Neodiprion lecontei: one gene and its partner. The protein of the gene in region 2 purifies or fractionates together with the protein of the main gene of each other region. This does not show direct contact. Links are inferred from orthologs where the notes say so. Each region holds a gene or a part of one and is shown on either strand. Other genes may lie near its edges.

Region 1 (6,718 bases), on a different chromosome or scaffold from region 2:
CATCTGCTGGGTCATCTTCTGATCTTTCATGAAGATATTTACATCGCTTCCCTCTGTGGCAAACGTTGCGCAGAAAATCTCTACATACTCGACTTGGAGAAGAATCTCCGTTAGAACTGGAACCACCTGCCATGTGTTAGTGTTTTCGGCACATTCCAGTTATTGTCAAGAATATTATTGCCCGCATGGCATTGGAAGTCCTTATGATTTTAGTTATGACTCAGTGAACTAGAACCAGCTAGGTATCCATGACTGTAAATTAAACACAAAGTACTGATATAAATTTCTGTATACTATATGCAATACAATAATTAAATTTATACTACTTACAACAAAAAATTAATCCCTCATTACTTTTCAACTAGTTTCATTATGCGTATACTTAATTTGTACTTTTAACTATTACATGCAAGAGGTATATGATTAAAAAAATTTCGCTCAACGCATTTTTATCCAAGTTAATTTCATATCTACTTTAAAAAAACAATGCTTCCTAGAATTAATTAGGGCTAATAATTGACTTTAAAGGCTGCTTAAGCTGACATTGAAAGCGATAGCACAGTGCAAATTACAAGAGGATATAGTAAGACGGATTAATAAAATTTCAATTAATTTAATTTTATTTCGTTTTATATAGTGACTGTTACATAGGTATTAATATTATATCAACAAAATATGTACAGAATTTAATAACTATTATCGTCATATTCTATCTCAAACCTTCCAAATTGGTTTCATTCTACAACATGCTGCATTTTACGCTGGAAAGATAGTGCAACATCTTTCAGTTATTTTTTGCAAAATGGAAAGAATCGAATTAATCAATGGCACACTACAAAAACTAACATGATAAGAAAATATAATAAATTTTTAATCTACTATAAACGACGAATAATTAAGAGAGACCATTATTTTATTTATTGCCAATATGAAAATAACTCTAGGCCCATACTGATCAATACCACATTGAGGTGTTCTGTAAACCATATTGTGAAAATTTAAATAACAAGAACATAATTACCAGCTAACAATTAACATTGCATTAATGTATTTATTACAATAAAATTTAACATATAACAGAACCAAGTGCTTTCCACAGGCAATATTCAGTGCGTGATATCAGCTAGTACAGTAGAGAATAAATTTTACATATTTGCATAAATCTTTGAATTTTCCTGAATATTCACTTAGTTTGAGTATAAAAGATTCTCCGTGCTAAGTTATAAAAAATTTTGCATTCTAGTTATTTTATTTACCAATATACATTATCACGATTACTTGCAAATGAAAATGCATAATAATCAATGATACATACGATAAATTTGCATGTCGTTTTTTTTTTCAGTGTAGAAATACGTTTTATACGTTAAAAACGATATGGTATTGAAATTGGCAAAGTGGTTATTCATTTTTTATACGGTACGTCAGTATTGTCTATATATTTTTCTAACACATCTCCAACTCCGAAGAATTGGCACAATGCTTGAATGTTTTTATGTGTACTGAAGATGTAAAGGATATAAATAGAAGTAAAATAATATAAATATTTGATTTCTTTCTGGTTCTTGAATTGAAATGGTAAGATGCTGAGCTTCCATTCAATGTTTACTCATAATGGAAGCGAATAAACTTATCTTCACATCCTTGACTTTTAGAGTTAAATATAATATATGTATATATGTACACTGTTAATTTATTTATTATGTTTGTTTTCTTTTCGTATAAAAAAAGGTTCTCAATTGCAACCGAAACAATATGCTGGAGTATCCTGTAATGCTTGGTATTATTATTATTATTGTTATTATGATAATTACTTTATACTATATCTCATAATAATATGCTTAACATGTGACATCATAAAAAATCAAATATAATAGTATGAACAATAACTATGTACAGAGTTAGAGAACATTAGAATATTTTTTCAAACAGCATCCATAAAAATGCTATTGCGATTGGTGCAACGTATTGTATGGGAACTGTGTAGGTAACATTCAACAGATCTCCACACTGAGCTTTAAGAGCTTCGTATCCTTTAACTAGTTCTGTATTCTCTTCTGTACAAGCGTTGCACTTTTCTTTAAGAATGACAAGTTCTTCGTTTATTTCTTGAATACGTTGAGTCTCATTTTTAGCACGATAATACAACTCCTTTAGTTTACTTATTACAGTTTCATTAGACTCGTGAATCAGCCATTCTCTAAGGTCGTCCAGCTCCTTATTAGCTAATTGCTGTGCCTCATAGTTATCTTCATCCTTCAAGGAGTCCAAAGAGCCAATTAAAGTTTGAAGAGTATATTCCTTAGACTGTAAACTTTGTTGTGCAGACTCGTTTTTCGATATCGGTTTTAAAGTCTTTATATAATCTCCATCTAAATGTTCACCCTCGCCGCATTCTTCTTCATCTTCGTCACGCTCCTCACTATTTTCACGTTTCTTTTCTTTATCGCATACTTCAAAAGATTTATCAATGTCTTCGAATTCACTTTCTGCTGAATTTTTAATATCCTTTGAATCACTTGTCAAACTCGAAACCTCGGACTCCTCTCCGGTTTGTTCAACAGGATCATAATGAACCTCTAAAGGTTCACCATTTTCTTCGCAAGCAAATCTTACCTCTAATAATCTAGCTGGCTGACCGGCAGCTTTAGTTGGTGTGCTGTTTTCTTCGCTGGTTCTCTTCACTTCGACGACTGATTTTTCGCTGCCATCGTCGCTGGTGGTGGTACAAGCGTCTTCGCTAACCTCAGAGTTATTGTCAGACTCTACGCTGGTGTCTAAATTATCTAAATTAGCGTTTCCATTGACCAGGGTTCTCCTGGAAGGTGGGTCCAGGATGCACCCTACAATCTTATCTATCTCTGATAATGATACGTCGATATTGCTCTTGTTGCAAGAGTTTGAGTTAATTTGATTGTCATGCTCAATTTTGTTCGCGTAAGAATTAGACTCCTCATTATAATCAAAGTCTTCTATAGACATCAGCTTTGTTTTGTACAATATATTGTTAACGGCAAGCTGGGCCTCGTCGGTAAGAAGGTCCAAATTCATATCTTGCAGAGTCTTGAGGTGCTTTCTAAGTGCAGTCACTTTCTCGTGAATGGTAGTAGAGTCATACCTGAAGTCCCTCAGTTTTGACTGCAAGATTTTCTCCACTCTAGCCTGATCCTTGATCCTTTTTAGCAGTCCCTTCTTTTCTTGTTCAGCTTGAGCTACCAAGTCCTTCATCTTGTCTTCGCTCTCTACCAATTTGTTAGAAAATTCGCTTATTTTAGTTTGGGCCTCGGTATACTTAGCTGCTAGTTCCTGTAGCTCAGCCTGCGTAGTTTTGGATACTTCATGCAAACTCTGACACTCATCTTCGGTATTGTTAAGCTGCCTTTCAAGATTGGCAAACTTTTGTGTCACCTCTAACTTCTCCTGCAATATTTTCTGCAAAGCTTCCTTAGCCGCTGTTTGATACTGTGCTTTGTCTTCTTGGAGTTTAACAAGCTCATTCCTTATCTTATCCTCTGTAAAATTCTTCGAATAAGCAACTAGCTGACTCTCGACAGTTTCGACACGCGATAATAAACGGTCCTCGTCAATCAAAGCTTTCCACGATTGATCGGCTGCCTGTCTTGTCGTTTCTACCAGTCTTTGGAGGTGATGAAGTTTGCCGTTAAGGACCTCTTCCCGTCTGTTAGCTTCTTGCAAGAATTGATTAAGTTTGTACAAATCCTCCAGGGATACACTACTCGTAGGACTCGCAACCGACGTGCTAACGCTAGCTTTAGCTTCTTTACCGTCAGGCAGGTACAATTTTAAAGTAGCGACGATACATCCGTGAGTAACCTTCCTCGTGTTTTCCATAACATCGACTCCGAACTGTACAATATCACCAGAGCACACCTCCCTGGGTCCTGATTCTTCGCCACCTATGCTAAGTCTTTGGCTATTGATAAACGTTCCGTTACTACTCTTGGTATCTTGCATATAAAATTTACCAGCCTCGTACCAGAGTAAGGCGTGATTTCGCGAAAGCACTTTACAGTCGAATATAGCATTGTTCGGCGTAGCTCGAGCTCTCGCCACGGAACGACCAATTTTAACCGGTTGTTCGAGCGAAACGGTGCGCTCGTGAAATGGATGGGAATTTGCCCGACAAATCAAAACTGCCTTAGCAGCCATCTTGTTGTTTGGCGTGTTACTAGTGTTCAGGTTGGAATTGTTCGGGGTCGGCGAATAAGTAGCATTTTGAATCCAACCCCCACTAGCTATAACCATAACCTATTGTAAACTTTATTTAACGGATATAACTATGAGAAATATATTAATTGGCTAGTGGTTACGGCAGTAGGTTAATCGTACGTTGAACACTTTCTTCATCAAAGTGTTGAGATTAGTTTAGTTTGGTGTTAATTTTGGATTTTCACATTTGGATGCACGATAAGATTTCCAGCAGCTTATATCTTCGTCAATTATTTTTACAATGATTAATATTGATCTTCATATTGTGTACACCACTACATAAACGTCAATGTCACTTTTTCTCAGTTCATTCGCCTATCCAGATGGCTTGAAACTTATCGCCCAATAACATTATCAACTCGTTTAAGGTGAAAGGTCTTTAAGCTGTATGTTCGAAAAATTTCGGATACCATGTACCATGGTTCGAGTCCATGTGTGGATAGAAGCTGCACACGCCCACACAACGAAAATAGCTGTTAAACTGGCTCGTAGGGTTCATCGGCGTTAACAATAGCGTGCCATAACTCGGCATAAAAAACGGACAATCATCACTCGGTAGGAACTCGCTAGGCGTATTGTGTTACGCTTGTCAAATTATATCACCCAAGTTTAATCACACTCGACTTTCGCAGCAGCTCTGCGTTATTGGTATCAAGACGAAAATACTTTACTTAAAACACGGAACAGTGAACGGTGTTTGTTACTTTAAGATTTGATATAATTTATTTGTCAGGCACAGTTTCAACATGGTAATGCAACGTAAGTAACACACGGCGAACGTTCAAGGGGTCAGCGACGAAGGTGTAGTTGTAGAAAGCACTTTTTTAACACGATAATTACGCGAAATCTCCGATGTCTCGAGATCGAGATGTTGCTCTACAGACACACAGAATCAGAATATTTTTTTCGCTCTCTCAACAATTGCGTTGAACTCCCGTGAACTTTACTCGGTACTGATGGTATTAGTGATTTGATCGCATCGCCTTCGGAGTTCTCTACGCTTCACGTATGGGAATAAGAGACTACACGAGCAATTAAATAAACAATTGAAAGACAAAATATTGTACACGGGTGGACTGCGGAAACACAGTGGTCCGAATTCACTTTGTTCCTTGAGAGTCAGTCCGAATTCCGATTCCGGTGTTTCTTCCGTTTATCGACCGTCGGATGTATCTGCGTATGAATATGTGTATGTGTGACGTACGTCCTTTTAAAATATCACATGACCATTTGTATGCATAATTTCCCACATAAACCGGAGCGAGTTCATCGTACATGGATATTCTCAAAGTATTTCAATCAACCTGAATGCGAGGCTAGGCGAATCTTACGTGCAAATGGAGAAGCGCGAGTAAAATTTTTTGAAAAATATCCTGTGACAAGATCGTTTGAATAACTTGGTCAAATCATTATCAGTAGAAATTGAAGATAACCTCAAAAGCAAGTTGACAGAAGATTAACGAAAAAAAAGGGGAAGAATCGAAGAAATTTGAGTGTTTATGGTATTACATATGAGGGAACTTTTGTCACGACCATCTTGAGCCTCACTTGTTAATTAATTTTTTTATCGGTACGTTATGTTCACTCATCAGGTCTGTCACAACAATGGTTTAGTCTTCAACGTGGTTGCGAATTTTTTACATTTCTACTTATCTGTATTCAATTTTCAGGTAGGTAATAAATCATGTCCGATGATGAAGATTACATGTCTGATAAATTTCTCCATGCTACCGAAGAACACTGCACTCCAATTCTCGCTCGTCGTCGCTCAGATCAACGGGAATTAGATCTTTTAAAAAAGAAGGCAGAGATTGAAGCTCGATTAAAGGAAAAAAATGTGTCTGTACGGGTCATAGAACAGGAAACGAGAGATAAAGGACTAGCATCTGCCATCACTAGTGACAATAAAGGTCAAGCTCAAATCATTGTAATTATATTTCTGCACACTTGGAGCTAGACAAATATCCTACTTGAACTATTTTCGAAACTGTTATATCCACTATTACTTATATTCAGGTTTTAAATTATTGGAGAAAATGGGATACACACCTGGGCAAGGAATCGGGAAGAAGGAGAGTGGAATATGCGAGCCAATTTCGATTGATCTGAAGACAAATAGGCTGGGCTTAGGCAGAGCACCGAAGAAAAAACCGTCAGCAACAAAAAATGGGAAGAAGAAAGAGGATAATTTTAACGCCAATGATTTTCGAGGAAGAATTTCACAGAGAAAAACCGAGCAGATGATAGAGGTTGATTTACGTAGAAGTCAAAACAGCTGCGAGCAGCTAGATAATCAAAATAATATTGACAAACCTGTAGAAATTTGGTACTGGCCGATAGTGGAAGAAGAGAAAAAAGACTCTGAAAACAACGAGTCAGTGGAATCAAGTGAAGAGGATGAAGATGAAAATGAAGATGATCACTACAGGATACCAGCTAGTGAAAAATTAGAAATTTTAACCAAATACCTAAGAGATCAATATTTTTA
Region 2 (4,823 bases):
TCTTTTATTATTTAAATATTGAATTAATTCAAAATCTTCCTCAATATGCAGTTTAATACAATATGCAAACATAAATTTCCATGCTCACCGAATTGCCAGATGAACTAGAGTATGCCCAATGTCAAAAGCGCTGCTTCTGTTCAAAAGGAGAACTTCGGAATGCGTCAATTGACGAGCAGGGTCTCCACCGCTTGCCAAATAAGCTTCGACTGGTGCATTATCACCTTCAACTATGCCGAGGCATGCGTTTAACCAGCACCAGTCTGTATGACGCCTAAGCTGTTTTAATCTGCGTTCATATTCACAATTGTTGGGTGATTGTGGAGCCGGTAAAGTATCGTTTCTTTCATATCTATGAGAACTTCTGTAACCATAAAATACAAATGCGTTAATTTCCTGTTTTATCTTTCTATTTCATCTTTCTGACTTCACTTTTTAGTCGACCTATCATTATCACTATCGATATAATATGGCATCAGTTTGAACGGCATCTCATAATGTATTGACTTAGTGATTTTATTTCATAAGCTTCACAATCCTAGAACTTCGAAATAGTATCTTTACTTTCTTACTTTTCTTTACTTGAATGAGCAGTACGAGTGATTTCTTAGCGTGTCAATTAAAAGTCTGATGCATTATAAAGTATACAACTTGATTAAAATTTAAGAATACTTCATTTCATTGTACATTCAATTATTTCTTTTATTTCTTCGTTTATCACACGGTATTCTAAAAGTATGTACAAAACGAAATAAATACTGAAGAATCCATATTTACGTAATTTTAATCATCTTCTATTGGATTACTACTGTAAATGTCTCAATTATTGTTGCAATAAATGGCTGAAAAAATATATAGTAAATCAACAGCTGTGTAGTAATTATACCTAGTAAGTTTTATAAACACGATTTTGCAAGCCAATACATGTACCTTTTGGCTACTGCCAAGTTTTCATCTCGATGAGCTTGATGGATGTACGGAGTATGAGGCGGAGACGGAGACGGAAGGCCTTTCTGACACTGATCCCGGTCAGGACTGGGTAGGATAAGTCCTAGATTAGTAATGGATCTTTCTCTTCTTTCTTTTTCCTTCTGATGGGCACACATTATACATTTCGTAGCTTTTGGCCAGTTTTCATAGGTACACGACGGACACGACCATTTCTCTTGCTGCGTATTAGACAACGGCATATTCAGCTGCGCATAGGAGTACTTTTCAGGATGTAAATTAATTAACGGAGAATTTATCTGTAGGTTTGACCCTGGGTTAGGCGGGGGATCGCCCAGCCTTAATGGTGCTAGTTGTTCGTGTAGATTTGAGGCTGTCGAATGTATAGATGTGGAGTGATTTACCAGTTTCTTGTGTCCACACTGCGCACACCGATTTGTATTTTGATAATTGAGGTAGGTGCATAAGTCACAGGCCCATTTACCTCCTGAAGGCAAATTTTGGCTGTAATTTTGAGGGCTTAGGTTGCAAAAGTCTGTTGACTGACTTATTTGAGGTACTGGACCAGACGCTACGTTAGAACCTGATCGCTGTGGACTTGGATCGCGCAAACGATAAATATCTTCCCCGAATAAAGGCTTTGCCCCTCTGCACATTGTACATTTCAAAGATGAGGGCCAATTTTCATATGTACAATACTCGCAATTCCATTTACCCTCCGTCTGCTCACCTTGATTATTCATTTTAATTCCCTATGATTGTTACTATTACTTTTTTTTCCTTCAACTTTTTTCAACTTATAAAATGATTCGACTAATCGATCGATACTATTGCTTTAAAATCTTAATTTGGTAATTTCTGTCACTAACTAACGGAGATGGATCAAAGTTGTATTCTTTAAAGAAAAGTTTTTCCTCTGCTTATATTACCAAGAAAGCATTTGTTAGTACAATGGGATGATTTTTTTTTTTCTATAGGCCTTTTTTCTTGAATTGTTCCTTGGGAATTATGCGGATTGTTAATTTATTGTTTTTCCATATCTCTTGACGGCTGATGTCACGTGATGAACATTTTGACAGATTTTGACAGGGTAGAAGCTGCTGCGAGAATATTAAACCACCAGCAGCTGCAGTTATCTGAAATATTGGAGAGAAAAAAACATCAATAACTCTCTAGTTATTCAACAGCAGAAAATGATAAAACACTTTGACATATAAAGATTTAAAAAATGTACATATGAATAATCAAATATGACAGACAGTGCGACTTTTTCTCTAAACTTTAACTCCGAATAAAACCAGTAAAGGAAGAGAAAAGTGAACAATTTATGGCGATACATGTTTTGCTAAAAAAAAAAAAAGAAGTGTTAAAGCAATAATGACCATCAAGTTGCCGAAAGATGAAACAGGAGAAAAAAAGATATATTGTAAGAGTTCCCACCAGATTTTATCAAAAAATAATAAAATTATGTACATGTATCGAAAATCAAAACAAAACAGTCTGGGGAAAAAGTATTCGTAAAAACGAGGAAAACGGTTAACCTTGACCTGTTCTCTTCACTACCGAATGGATTTCAAGAGACGTTGGTTCTGCGTAATTCCTCGCCTCGGACAGGATACCCCAGATCCTGGTAGAATATCTCGTTACATGCCAGAATACTCCATTCGTTCCTCAAACTGGTTAAAGAATAGGCACGAAAGACACTGCTCTGGGCCAGCACCCCACTGCAACGTATTACGTGCACTTTGACAAGGGTTTGCGTCGTGCGTTTCTTTTTTTTATCGCCTTTTCTTTTTCACGTTGCGAGACAAAAATGATAAATAAGCATGTCGCGAATAATGGAGCGTTAAATCAGTGAAGACTCACTTCTCGCACGAGAGTTACTCACGTCTACGAGATTGACATCGTATTTCCTCGGGAACTTCTATGGGGAAAGTAGGTTTTGACAGTCATTCGCAAACAGCCAGTGGTGCCAACCTTCATCAACAAATATTCCAATTCTGCAATAATATTATACGCAGTCGGTCTATCCCTCTGTGTATTTTGCAACTTTCAATCATGCAGTGCTTGAATATTTCTCAAATATTTTGTCTGTTTTCAATTATTACACAATGCAATGTCAGTACAACAAAATAAAGTACATTGTCATAGCGTTTTACTCACCACCCGGTATATGGCTTTTTAGATTGGCAATGTTACAATCGACGATATCCGTATCCTACTTTTGAACAACGTTTCGACGCTTACCTCCACTTTGCATCTGACATTCGCTACTTATTATTAGATATTTTTCCCCAAATCCTTACAGCCAATTCTCAACGTTGTCGCAAAACTATCAATCCTCATCTCAAGACGAATTGGATCGCCAGTATCAAGAGATCAGTGAATCGGACACTTTCACATTGCATGATGTCAAACCAAACGTAGCCAAACGTAGACAATTTGCGCTAGTTGAATGACTGTGTGCCGTGCATGTCTAATTCATTTATTTATATATTTCTGGCTCTACGCCATATGGGTCTTAGCCTAGACATTTGACCTTGACATTTCCTTGTCAAATAATACATACAACTTCTCGAACAGCTATCACTATTGTTCAATCGTCGAAGATATGATTAATATGCAAGTAAATAACCAAGGAACTATTTCCCTACTCGCGCGTTGTCTGCTGTTATTTTTTGGTACAAAATGATGTCGCAAGATTAAGCCAGTTGAAAACTTAACCCTAAAAAATCGTCTTTTAAGTAGCTTGTCGTTCCCTCTTTGGTCGGTCCATTTCAGTACTTATATATCTCATGAATAATAGGAATTGTTAAAATGACATCGAAAATTTTAATATTATATGGAAGTGAAACTGGAACGGCTCAGGACGTGGCAGAACAAATTTGGAGAGATGCCAAAAGGTTTAATTCGTATACTCTTATGTCTGATAGAAAAAACTCGGATCGAAATGTAACATAGTACAAATGTGTACGTAGTATTTCAATTTTCGCATAGAATTGATAACAACTACTAATAATAAAAAAAGAAAACACGTCTTTCTCAATATACTTTTCAAGATGAACGTGCTTTTGTCCATTTGTAGCTACAATTATTTGCATAAGATTATGATACTTGCGTTATTGAATTAAAGTTTTTCTCATACACTTATGAAAATCTTAATTCCATCCTTGGTTTTCAGAGTTGGTGCGGACTGTTCTGTCATTTCAATGGACGATTATGATATAAAAAATTTGATTTCCGAACGAATAGTTATATTCGTTGTTGCCACAGCTGGTCAAGGTGACCCACCTACAAACATGAAAAAATTTTGGCGCTTTTTATTGCGGAAAAACTTACTGGCAAACTCGCTGCACAATATGTATTATGGAGTACTAGGACTGGGAGATAGTTCCTATGTCAAGTACAACTTTGCTGCGAAAAAATTAAGTAAAAGACTAGCTCAGTTAGGTGGAACAGAGATTCTATCCATTGGATTGGCCGATGATCAACACGATCTTGGTATTGATGCTGTCACAGTACCATGGATTGAACAATTATGGACTAATTTATCTACATTATTTGATATTCCTACAAGAATCCCAATGAGTGATAAAAATAACATCATCACCAAATTTAATGTCTCTCTCATTGATAATTGCAGCTCTGTTACTGCAGAAGATGCATATTCACGCAACGATATATATAGACATGAATTATATATGAATCATGATACCATCAAAGTCGGCAGAGTTATTGAAACGACTAGAATGACTTCAATCGATCATTTTCAGGATGTTAGATTGCTGAAATTTCATGTCGAAAATGCCAAGTATGAGCCTGGGGATGTTGTTTACCTGAGGCCAAAGAATTCTGCTGAAAAAGTACATCAGTTT

What was found.
Region 1: the proteins of ubiquitin thioesterase trabid (region 2) and sarcolemmal membrane-associated protein purify together in Homo sapiens (affinity purification with mass spectrometry; 3 studies listed by BioGRID and IntAct, with this or other methods). This does not show direct contact. The link is inferred for Neodiprion lecontei from reciprocal best matches to the Homo sapiens genes ZRANB1 and SLMAP.

What each region holds. Positions count from the first base shown.
Region 1 is NC_060263.1:38,398,694-38,405,411, forward strand, and holds sarcolemmal membrane-associated protein, read right to left. Parts: upstream 4,628-6,718; 5' UTR 4,267-4,627; coding exon 1,912-4,266; 3' UTR 598-1,911; downstream 1-597. Other genes in the region: zinc finger CCCH domain-containing protein 10, read right to left, coding at 1-133; G patch domain-containing protein 11, read left to right, coding at 5,915-6,140, 6,247-6,718. UniProt on the Homo sapiens protein: Associates with the striatin-interacting phosphatase and kinase (STRIPAK) core complex, forming the extended (SIKE1:SLMAP)STRIPAK complex.
Region 2 is NC_060260.1:13,808,100-13,812,922, reverse strand, and holds the start of ubiquitin thioesterase trabid, read right to left. Parts: upstream 3,245-4,823; 5' UTR 3,112-3,244; intron 2,949-3,111; 5' UTR 2,837-2,948; exon of another isoform or gene 2,815-2,836; intron 2,734-2,814; exon of another isoform or gene 2,673-2,733; 5' UTR 2,496-2,672; exon of another isoform or gene 2,490-2,495; intron 2,085-2,489; 5' UTR 1,692-2,084; coding exon 931-1,691; intron 365-930; coding exon 89-364; intron 1-88. Other genes in the region: NADPH-dependent diflavin oxidoreductase 1, read left to right, coding at 3,766-3,851, 4,130-4,823. UniProt on the Homo sapiens protein: Ubiquitin thioesterase, which specifically hydrolyzes 'Lys-29'-linked and 'Lys-33'-linked diubiquitin. Also cleaves 'Lys-63'-linked chains, but with 40-fold less efficiency compared to 'Lys-29'-linked ones.